2 linked regions of the Cricetulus griseus genome follow. The protein of the gene in region 1 purifies or fractionates together with the protein of each later gene. This does not show direct contact. Links are inferred from orthologs where the notes say so. Each region holds a gene or a part of one and is shown on either strand. Other genes may lie near its edges.

What was found.
Region 2: the proteins of Atp2b4 (region 1) and Nptn purify together in Homo sapiens (co-immunoprecipitation; 3 studies listed by BioGRID and IntAct, with this or other methods). This does not show direct contact. The link is inferred for Cricetulus griseus from reciprocal best matches to the Homo sapiens genes ATP2B4 and NPTN.

Annotation. Positions count from the first base shown.
Region 1 is NC_048598.1:55,393,481-55,397,869, forward strand, and holds the start of Atp2b4 (plasma membrane calcium-transporting ATPase 4), read left to right. Parts: upstream 1-1,556; 5' UTR 1,557-1,932; intron 1,933-4,389. UniProt on the Homo sapiens protein: Calcium/calmodulin-regulated and magnesium-dependent enzyme that catalyzes the hydrolysis of ATP coupled with the transport of calcium out of the cell. By regulating sperm cell calcium homeostasis, may play a role in sperm motility.
Region 2 is NC_048597.1:170,169,623-170,173,956, reverse strand, and holds the start of Nptn (neuroplastin), read right to left. Parts: upstream 2,933-4,334; 5' UTR 2,697-2,932; coding exon 2,606-2,696; intron 1-2,605. UniProt on the Homo sapiens protein: Probable homophilic and heterophilic cell adhesion molecule involved in long term potentiation at hippocampal excitatory synapses through activation of p38MAPK. May also regulate neurite outgrowth by activating the FGFR1 signaling pathway.

The sequences.
Region 1 (4,389 bases):
ACTTAGGCAGTAGAGGAGAATCAAGGCCAGCCTCAGCTACATCGTGAGTTTGAGGCCAGCCTGAAATCCATGAGACCGTCTCCAAACACAAAACAAACAAAAAGAAATCAATGAGATTAGGAAGTAAAAAAGAAAGGGCCAAGTGGTAGGAAGTTGGGAAGCGCTCTTGGTCTTCTTCTAGGCTTTGTTTCTTCTTGCACACAAGTCTTTGTTTATTTGTTCAAGACAGGCTCTTGTTTGCTGTGTAGTTATAGCTGGCCTGGCTCCCACTGTGTAGCCCAGGCTGGCTTCAAATTCCTAACAGTCCTTCTGTCTCAGCCTTCTGCTTGCTAGGATTACAGGTATACTCACCATGCCTGGTTAGGTACTGGAGCATTTTTGAAGCTCTATTAATAGGTTGGGGAACCGTAATAATCCCCTTCTTCCCCTATACAGTACTCTATAACCTGTGAGGTTGTGTTAGCCTGCCTTTCATAAGCATGTAAACATGAGTGAGTATGTCTGCTGAGGTAGGTGTGGGAATGTATCCGTCAATGAAGATGTGTTGTGTGAGCCAGCTGATGGTGCATGTTTGTACTTGAAAGCCATAAGGTTCCATGCAAAAGCTATGGGTGGCACTGTTGCACAATGCTGGTGGGTGTGTGGCACGGGGGTGTGATTAACAGTTTATAGGCTGTGTCTAAGTGTGTACGGATGTCTCAGTGTGTACGCGCTAGGATGGAAATGTGTGACATAGTATGATACAGGGATAGGGAAGCACATAGTCTCTGGAATGGGTCTGATCTGACTTGCCCCTGAATCCTGGCTGTCATTAACCAGATGGGTAACCTTGAGCAAGTCGCTCAATCTTTAATTTCCTCAACCATGAAACCAGGACAGTAATGAGTACCTTTTTGAGACTGCCACCAGGGCTAAAAACGATATTGTAGATGCAAAGATTTGGGTGTTCAGCCACACACAGGCGAGCAGCCATTCTATGCCCTGTGGACATGCCTTTGGTTGGGTACACAAGCAAGAGAGAGCAAGATGTGACCTGGGTCTGAGGGTGAGGAGGCACCTATGTGTGTGGGCACCCTGAGCAATTGCCTCGTCTTTGACAGTGAACTCCCAGTTCAGACTGGGTCAGTAGGGCAGATGCCCACAGCCTCCTGAGGTTTCGTGGTCCTGAGTCTAAATCAGTATGAGAATGAGAGGCCTGGAGGAGCTGCAGGAAACAGAATGGCTTGCAGACACTTCCTTTATTTCCCCTCCACGCAGCAACGGTTGAAGACCGCTGCCCACATCCATTCCCACCTCCACCCACACCCACGCCTGCTCTGCTCCCCTTTCAACAAGTAAGAACCAGCGCTGGGAGAAAGCCAAGAGGGCAGAGGATTCCCCCTACCCTTCCCCATTCCCCCTTAAGACGGACCAAGAAGCATCATTCCGCCGCGCCTTGCTCTCGGGCTACCTTAAGAGCTGAGCAATGCTTTGGCCTCCCGCCAAACCCCACCCCCGCCGGCTCGCGCTCCGCCCCTTTCTCCTCCCGCCCTGCTGGGGGAGAGCTGGGGAGCCCCAGTCTGGCCAGAGTTGGCTGGAGCTGTTGCCATGACAAGCATTTTCTTAAGACAGCTCTTCTGTTGAGACCGTCCTAGGCTGGGGGTGGGGTGGGAGTACGAACTTCCTGGGGGACCATCCCTCCGAAGACGGCGAGGTCAGACACCCGCCCAGCTCCCTGCACCCATTTTCTTCCAGGAAGGTCCTTCGCGTGGAAGGGCTGGGGAAGAAGACTCAGTCCACTCCCCCAGCTGTGGCCAGAGAGCAAAGCCAGCATCACTAGGTGGTTTGCCACACTGGGGAGAGCGGTGGGTGGTCACCCCACCCTACTCGGTCCATGGAAACGCTGAGGGAGAGTCCCGCTTGGAGACACCTGAATCTTTGCTAGAAAGAGAGGTAGGTTTGCAGAGAATGAATTGACTCTGGGATTTGCAAACTTTGTTTCTTTCTTTCCTCTCAATAGCTTCTCAAAGTATCCGAATTTCCTCATGCTAGCAAATTCTGGGAGGGTGGGGTGGTGGAATAGGAGACAGAGGTGGGGGGAGAAAATGAGAATGTCTTCAACACTGTATTCTTCCCTGGGTTCTGAAGAACCATCTAATCAAACAAGTGATCCCTTTGCGTTTTCCTCTGGATCATGGGATGGGTGGGGAAATGGAGGGACTGCCTTTTTCTCACCCAAATTAAGCTCTCGGAACAAGTATTTATTCCAGCCGACCCCCATCCGCTCCTGCTCTCCCCCTCCCCCTCGGCTTGGGAACCAGCCGCAGAATGGAAAACTGTTGCGGAAAAAAAATATTTTCCGCGTCTGTTCCCTTTCTCGAAAGCCCCAAAGAGAGATGGGAAAAATAGGACCAAATAAATCTTCAGCGGGAAGGAAGGCCTTAGCGCCAAGGAGGGAGCTCACGGGGGGGGGGGGGGCGCATAAGGTGGAGATAGGCTAGGAGAAGTTGGAGGGTGAGAACCAGGAGTGCACAAATTAAATTTCTTTGGCTTTGCATAGAAACCTCAGCAGTTTCTCTCTGCGGCTTACAAAACATCCTCAGACTTTGACGTCTATAATTAGCTGTGGAAAAAGCTGGGAGTTCCCTCTCACTGCTGTTGTTTGAGTGAGCGTAAGCGTCCAGAACCAACTGTATGAGTGTCTCTAAGGGCACCGCCCCACGCATCTCTGATTCTATAGGGAAGGAAAGAGAAGGGGCACACTGAAAAGTTTTCAGTTTCAAGCCCCAGGCTGTGAGGTGGCCGGCTTGGGCCTCTGGCATCTTGAGAGGGTCCCTGAACAGATCGCTTTAGAGATAGACACTAAGGCTGGAGTTGCTCCCTCTTTCTCCTCTCTCCCTGTTTTGGTAGTGCGGGCCGGCTGGCGTCTTTCCTTGAGATGAGTCCAGCCTATACTCTGGTCCACCTCTAGAAGAATGCCTACTTGCTTCTCTCCAGCCGCGTGGGGAGATGGGAGGAGGGGCCCAGCAAATCCTGCGAGCAGGGAGAGCGCGCCCTGGCCGGAGGCATCTTCTTCCAGGGTACTCCTGCAGGACGCACAATGCCCTCCGGATCTGATGCTGGCCAGGTGGGCTGGTCGGGTGTCAGGTGAAGAAGTCAGGCGGCTGCTGTGACGCTGAGAAGGAAAGAGAAGTGGGGAGGGAGGGAAAACGAATTCCCGTTCTGCAGGCCATCTTTTCCTCCAGTTGGGGTGTGTGGCAGGGAGTCTTCAGATTCACTCCTTCCATGCTTGACACCCCCACCCACCCACATGAACTCCCCTTGTTCCTGGCTCTTCCCACTTAAGAGACCCTTTCCTATAGCACCCCCCTGGTCTGGGATCTCCTTATCTGGAAGGGAGGAGACCAGGGTTATTTCGGGCTGGGACCAGCATGGCAAGGGGCCTAGGGGAGAGAAGAATTTCAAAACAGGAGGACCCTATAATGTGGGCTATGAGAAAAGCCTTGCTGAGAACCTGAGGAAGAAATAGAAGGAGAGGTTAAAAGGTAGCCAGGGAAGCCACCAGAGCGAGCTTTCATTTGCAGGTGTTTGGTAATGGATCAGACCCTTTGGCCACTCTACCCCACCTGTGGTCTGATCCCAACAAGAATTGGTGCCCTTCTTCTATCGGAAGGGGAGGCGGGAATCCCGGGGGAGGGACCAATTCTGGTGGATAAGGATGGCTGCTGCCTGAGGTGTCTGCTTAGCGCGCACTAGGGTGCCTGTTCTAATGGCCATGTGTCCTGGGTCTTGGGCAGCTGGGGAGACCGCTTTTCAGCCCAGCTGTACCCCCACCTCTCCGAGCCGTGAGAACTGCAGGGTTGGGAATACTGCAGCAGAAGCTGGATCCCTCCCGTCTAGCAGCGTCTGTGACCTGCCCTATTGTCAGCCTCTCAGCAGCCCGGCTCCACCCTCTGGCATGGCTCTGCCCTAGTCTGAGTACTCAGAGGAGAACGGACTTAGATGTGGTAGAGGCTTCTAGCCTTCCGGTCCCTGCCGGTGCCTCTGCCCCTTCACTTCTGTTTTCCATCTCCGTGTCCCTGAATCCTTGGTTCCAAGGTCAAGTTGAAGGGACTTAGTTTGCCTCATCCCCGAGACTCCCAGCTTCTAGCACAGTGCCAGGACAAATAGAGGCACTCTGTCAACACTTCCAAGATGAAAGGGGGCAATTTAATTAAAAAAAAAAACATTTATTGGGGACCACATCTGGAGGTCAGGGAACAATTTATTCTCTCTTTCCACCATTTGGGTTCATGGGGACCAAACTCAGGCCATCAGATACTTCAAGGCAGGAGTCCTTACCCACAGATCCATCTTGCTAGTCCCCAGGGGTGGAGTAATAGCACCTGGGAATCACTTGCATGGGGAGGT
Region 2 (4,334 bases), on another chromosome or scaffold:
AATATTCAATTTTAATCTAACACTTTTGAATATCTCAAATTTTTGCCTTAGAATTGTATTGTTGGTACATACATACCCAAAAAAAGAAAAAAAAGGTTTTACCTAAAACTGTGGTCTTACAAATCTAAATATTTATATGAAAAATGAAGTCTACTTGAATCCCTATGGTAATGGGTCAGAATCCTTTTGGAGTTAAAAGAGATGCTGTGGGTCATCTAGACCAAAATCTTCATTTGAGGACTAATGAAAACAGAAGCCTTTTCAGAAAGTTCTACATTCCTAATCTAAACGGCCACATTTTCCGTCCAGAAGCAGTGACTCTACCACTGATTTTCCAAAGCATTATTTTAAAGAGATAATCTGTATGTCTAACATTTCAATATCATATGGAACATGGTATCTCTTTCTGAAACACTGTACAAAAAGTAAAACCTTTAGGACATGAAATCAGACTATTGCAAGACTATTATCAACAGAAAGCTTAAATATTTCCACTGAGACACATTACAGAAAGTTTTAAAATGGCATCCTTAACCATATAAACTCAAAAGTAACCATTTCTTTATTGAATTCAATTTACATTCATTTGGGTCAACTATGGACTCATCGTCACTTTACTAGTCTTGTCACGTGACTAAATCCAAGCTCATTTCAAGGGAAAGGCTGTACTATGCTGTATTTAGAACATATTATCACTAAGAGCAGCCAGATGAGTCTTTGTAGACCTATCCAAAAGCCTTGCCTTAGTTGCTAAGAAACTACAATTTACCATATTATAAATCATCCAAAACAACTTATGCCAGCACAGATTAAACATCTACCATCAAGAATCTCTCACCTACAGCACAAAATGAAACTGCTACTTCCACAAATAACTGAAATCAGAATTAGAGTCAAGTCATATCACATAAATGACTGGTAGAGCAAGCAAATCAGGCTAACTCTACCATTTCCCTTCCACAGCTTTGTACTTAAGGAAAATGGGGTGGGGGTGCCCACATCCTTAGGATATTCAATGTAAGAGACAGAAAAATGTTTCCCTTTTGACCCATGAAGAAACAAAGCCATAGGGCATAAAATTCCCTAAGTAGAATGATAGCGCTTTTTTTTTTTTTTGTCTCAATACTGTATTTTCGCTGTAACCTCTAGCATTTTAAGGTCGGTTTCTCTTCAGAACCCTCAACTCCACGGACTCTGCGTGATTTTGTTTTAATGAAAGCCATTTTAATTTCAGACAAGAGCAATTTTAATTGTTTTAGTATAACAACGAAGAATGAGGAGATTAAAACTAATTTATGTCTCCCTACCCCAACCGACTTCTTATGATTTTTTCATATGAAAAAATCTTTAAACCTCTTAATAGTTGTTTCCACAATAACTGAAATAGGCTCATTATCCTTTTAAGTTTGCTTCTGAAAGATCAGTTCAGCAACAGAACTGTGGCAATGCTGTCAATCAGAATCCGTCAGGTTTAGCTCCCCCATGCCTATTATCCTTCATCATCTTCTCTAAAAAGCTTCAGCTCGAAACCCAATTTTCGCTTCCACTGTACCTTAAACACATCCCAGAGGCCACATTCATATTCCACAGAAATGACATCTTTTCAGTCTTGAAACTTTTAAATCTCAAAAGCCCACTTCCTCCATTTCCCTGCCATCACTCAACTGCCCTCAATCCCACCACTGCAGATGTAACTGTCCCAGCCCTCCCCAAAGGCCAAACCTACATCATACAGCATTTGCCACAACTCATCCCCTCCCTAATGTATCCACCACGCTGCAAAGCAACATTACACCCCCGACTTCCTGCATTTTACTCCCTTCCCTTATTTTTCGTCTTCCCCAACACCCACCTCTATACCCAGGCACCCTTTACTTCTCTGATGCTTCCTCTACCTCAGTTTTAATGCTTTCCCCCCATCCTCTGCTCATTTTCCTCTCCTTATTTAGAAACTCCCTTTTGCTTTCCCAACCGCTACCCTAGAATGCCCAGCACTCCACCCTCTTTGGCAAAACCCAGCCCTCTTCCCCCAGCAGCTCGTTTGGAGACACTGCTGCTTCTCTTTTCCAGGTCCCCCACTGCAGTCAACCCACTCCATCATCTTTCCGCCCACCTTCCCTCTACCCCCAAATCCAAGGTTCCCCGAATCCCTTACTAACCCCTCTCCTTGGAGACTCAAGTAGTGGCTCCCGCTAGGTGTTCTTCAGGATCCTTTTCACCCCAGCTTCCCCCTCCTCCCATTTTCCAGGATGTCACTAGGGTTCCGGGGCCCCCGTAGAATCCCGGTGTCAGCGCCTGCAGAACCCGGTTCCCTCGCCGCCAACACCCCTCTGCCGGCTCGAACTCGAACGCCTTCTCCAGAGCCGCCCCCGCTACTCCAGCTCCTGGTGAGCGCAGAGCCCCACGCCGCGCGCGGACCTGTCTCCAGCGCCCCGGGCTCGCAGCACAGCGACGCCTCCACTCTCCACGAAGCGCCTCCTCGCTTCAGCCCGGCCGCCCGGCCGCCCGCTCCCGGCTCCGGCATCCCCTTCAGGCCTGGGCCCGGCCCCTCTGGTTGCCGGAGCCCGGCGCCCCCGCCCGGCCCGCCCCCGGCCCCTCGGCTTACCGTTCTGAGCAGCACCTGGCCCTGGGAGGAGCGAGCCAGAGACCAGCAAGAGCGAGAGGGCCAGGGCGCTGGGGAGCGAAGAGCCCGACATCCTCCCGAGCCGGAGAGCGCGCAGCGAATGGGCCGGGCCGGGGCCGGGGCCGGGGAAGGGAGGGGAGGGAGGGAGGGGGCGGGCGAGCGCGCGAGGGAGTGAGTGAGCGAGGCAGCGGCGCCCCAGCTCCGTCCTTCCCCGTCCTCCTCCTACCGCCGCAGCGCCCAAGCCTCGCGAGACCTCCGCTGGCGGCCGTGGGCGGTCCAGGAGCTCCGGCGGCAAGGCTCGCGAGAAGAGGCTCGCGCCCGAAGTCCCCGCCCCTGCGGAGGCTGATTGGCCTAGCGCAAGGGAGCTCACATGCAGAGGGCGCTTCTGGCCACGTGATGGGGCGAGGCGGGGACTCCACCCGCCCGCCCGCTCTCCCGCGGGGGAGGCCGTCAGAGAGCACGGCGGAGTACAGTTTTCCCCTCGGTGGAATCCTAGTGCCCGTAAATGAGAGGAAGCATTGAGTAAACTGTCTCTCCTCCACCCATACTGCCTTTCAAGCGTTACCGCTCTAAACTTCAGAAATGGATACACCAGACCCCGCTAATAAGCTTCCTGTCATCGTCCCTTATCAAGAACTTGCTATTCTTGCTTCTGGACTTTGACCAGAGACCGCTAGAGCTATCTGGCCACAACCTCTCTGCCACATTTTCCCCTCCCGGGCAGTGTTACACGCTTGCTGTGCCTTCCTGCGCGGACATCTGTTCCCTCTGCCTTCAAGTGTCCTCCTTTTCCTCCCTACCTGTGCCATCCCCACCCCCCTTTGGCCTTATTTTAGCTTCACAGACTCTGAGGGCCCGAAGTTAACTAGCCTAGTTGTAGGGCCATAGAAAAAATTCTACAAGGAAGTCATATGTCAAGTGATAGACAGAATCTTTGGTAGAGAAACCTGTAGAAAATAGTTTCCAGTCAGTTCACAGTGGATTAGGAAGAGTCAAATGACCCATAGGAAAGGGGCCAGAAAAAAAAAGGCCGGGGGGCGTGGGGGGGGGAATTTAGCCATGTTGCATGGAAATTTGAGAAATGCCTCCTTTGGGAGAAGGAGGATATTGGGGAGATGCCATGGTTGGTAAAAATGCTTGCTGCACTAGGATGAAGACCTTCCCCAGCATAAAAGGGAAAAGATGGCCATCAGGCCTGTGGCTTTCATCACAGGCTGGAGAGGTGGAGAACAGGAGGACCTGGAGCTTGCTGGCTAGCCAGCCTAGCCAGTTGGTGATCTCCAAGTTCAGTGAGAAACCCTGCACTCTACTGAAGTGGAGAGTAGTTAAGGGAGACAGCCAGAAGCTGCCGTCTGGCCTCCGAGTGCATGCAGGCTTGCTCACACACAAACACAGATTTGGGGGACTTGGCTTATTGTTTTTTTTTTTTTTTTTTTTTTTTTTCCTGTACCACCCTCAGCACTTGTGGTTAACAAAGAAGTGTTCTCTGTGGCTTAGGTCATCCCTGAGTCAGAACAGGCATCCTCGGGTGTGTCTATGACTTAAAAATGAGGAATGGTAAACTGGCCTGCCGACCTGACTTTCTTCAAAGGCTTTGGTGAATCTGGAGGAAGGAGATCCTCACAGCCTCTCCAGCTTTCCTGGGAACTAGACAACTAGTGGTTATAGACTGAGTCTTCCAGTAAGGGCTAGGGCTACAACTGTGGTATGC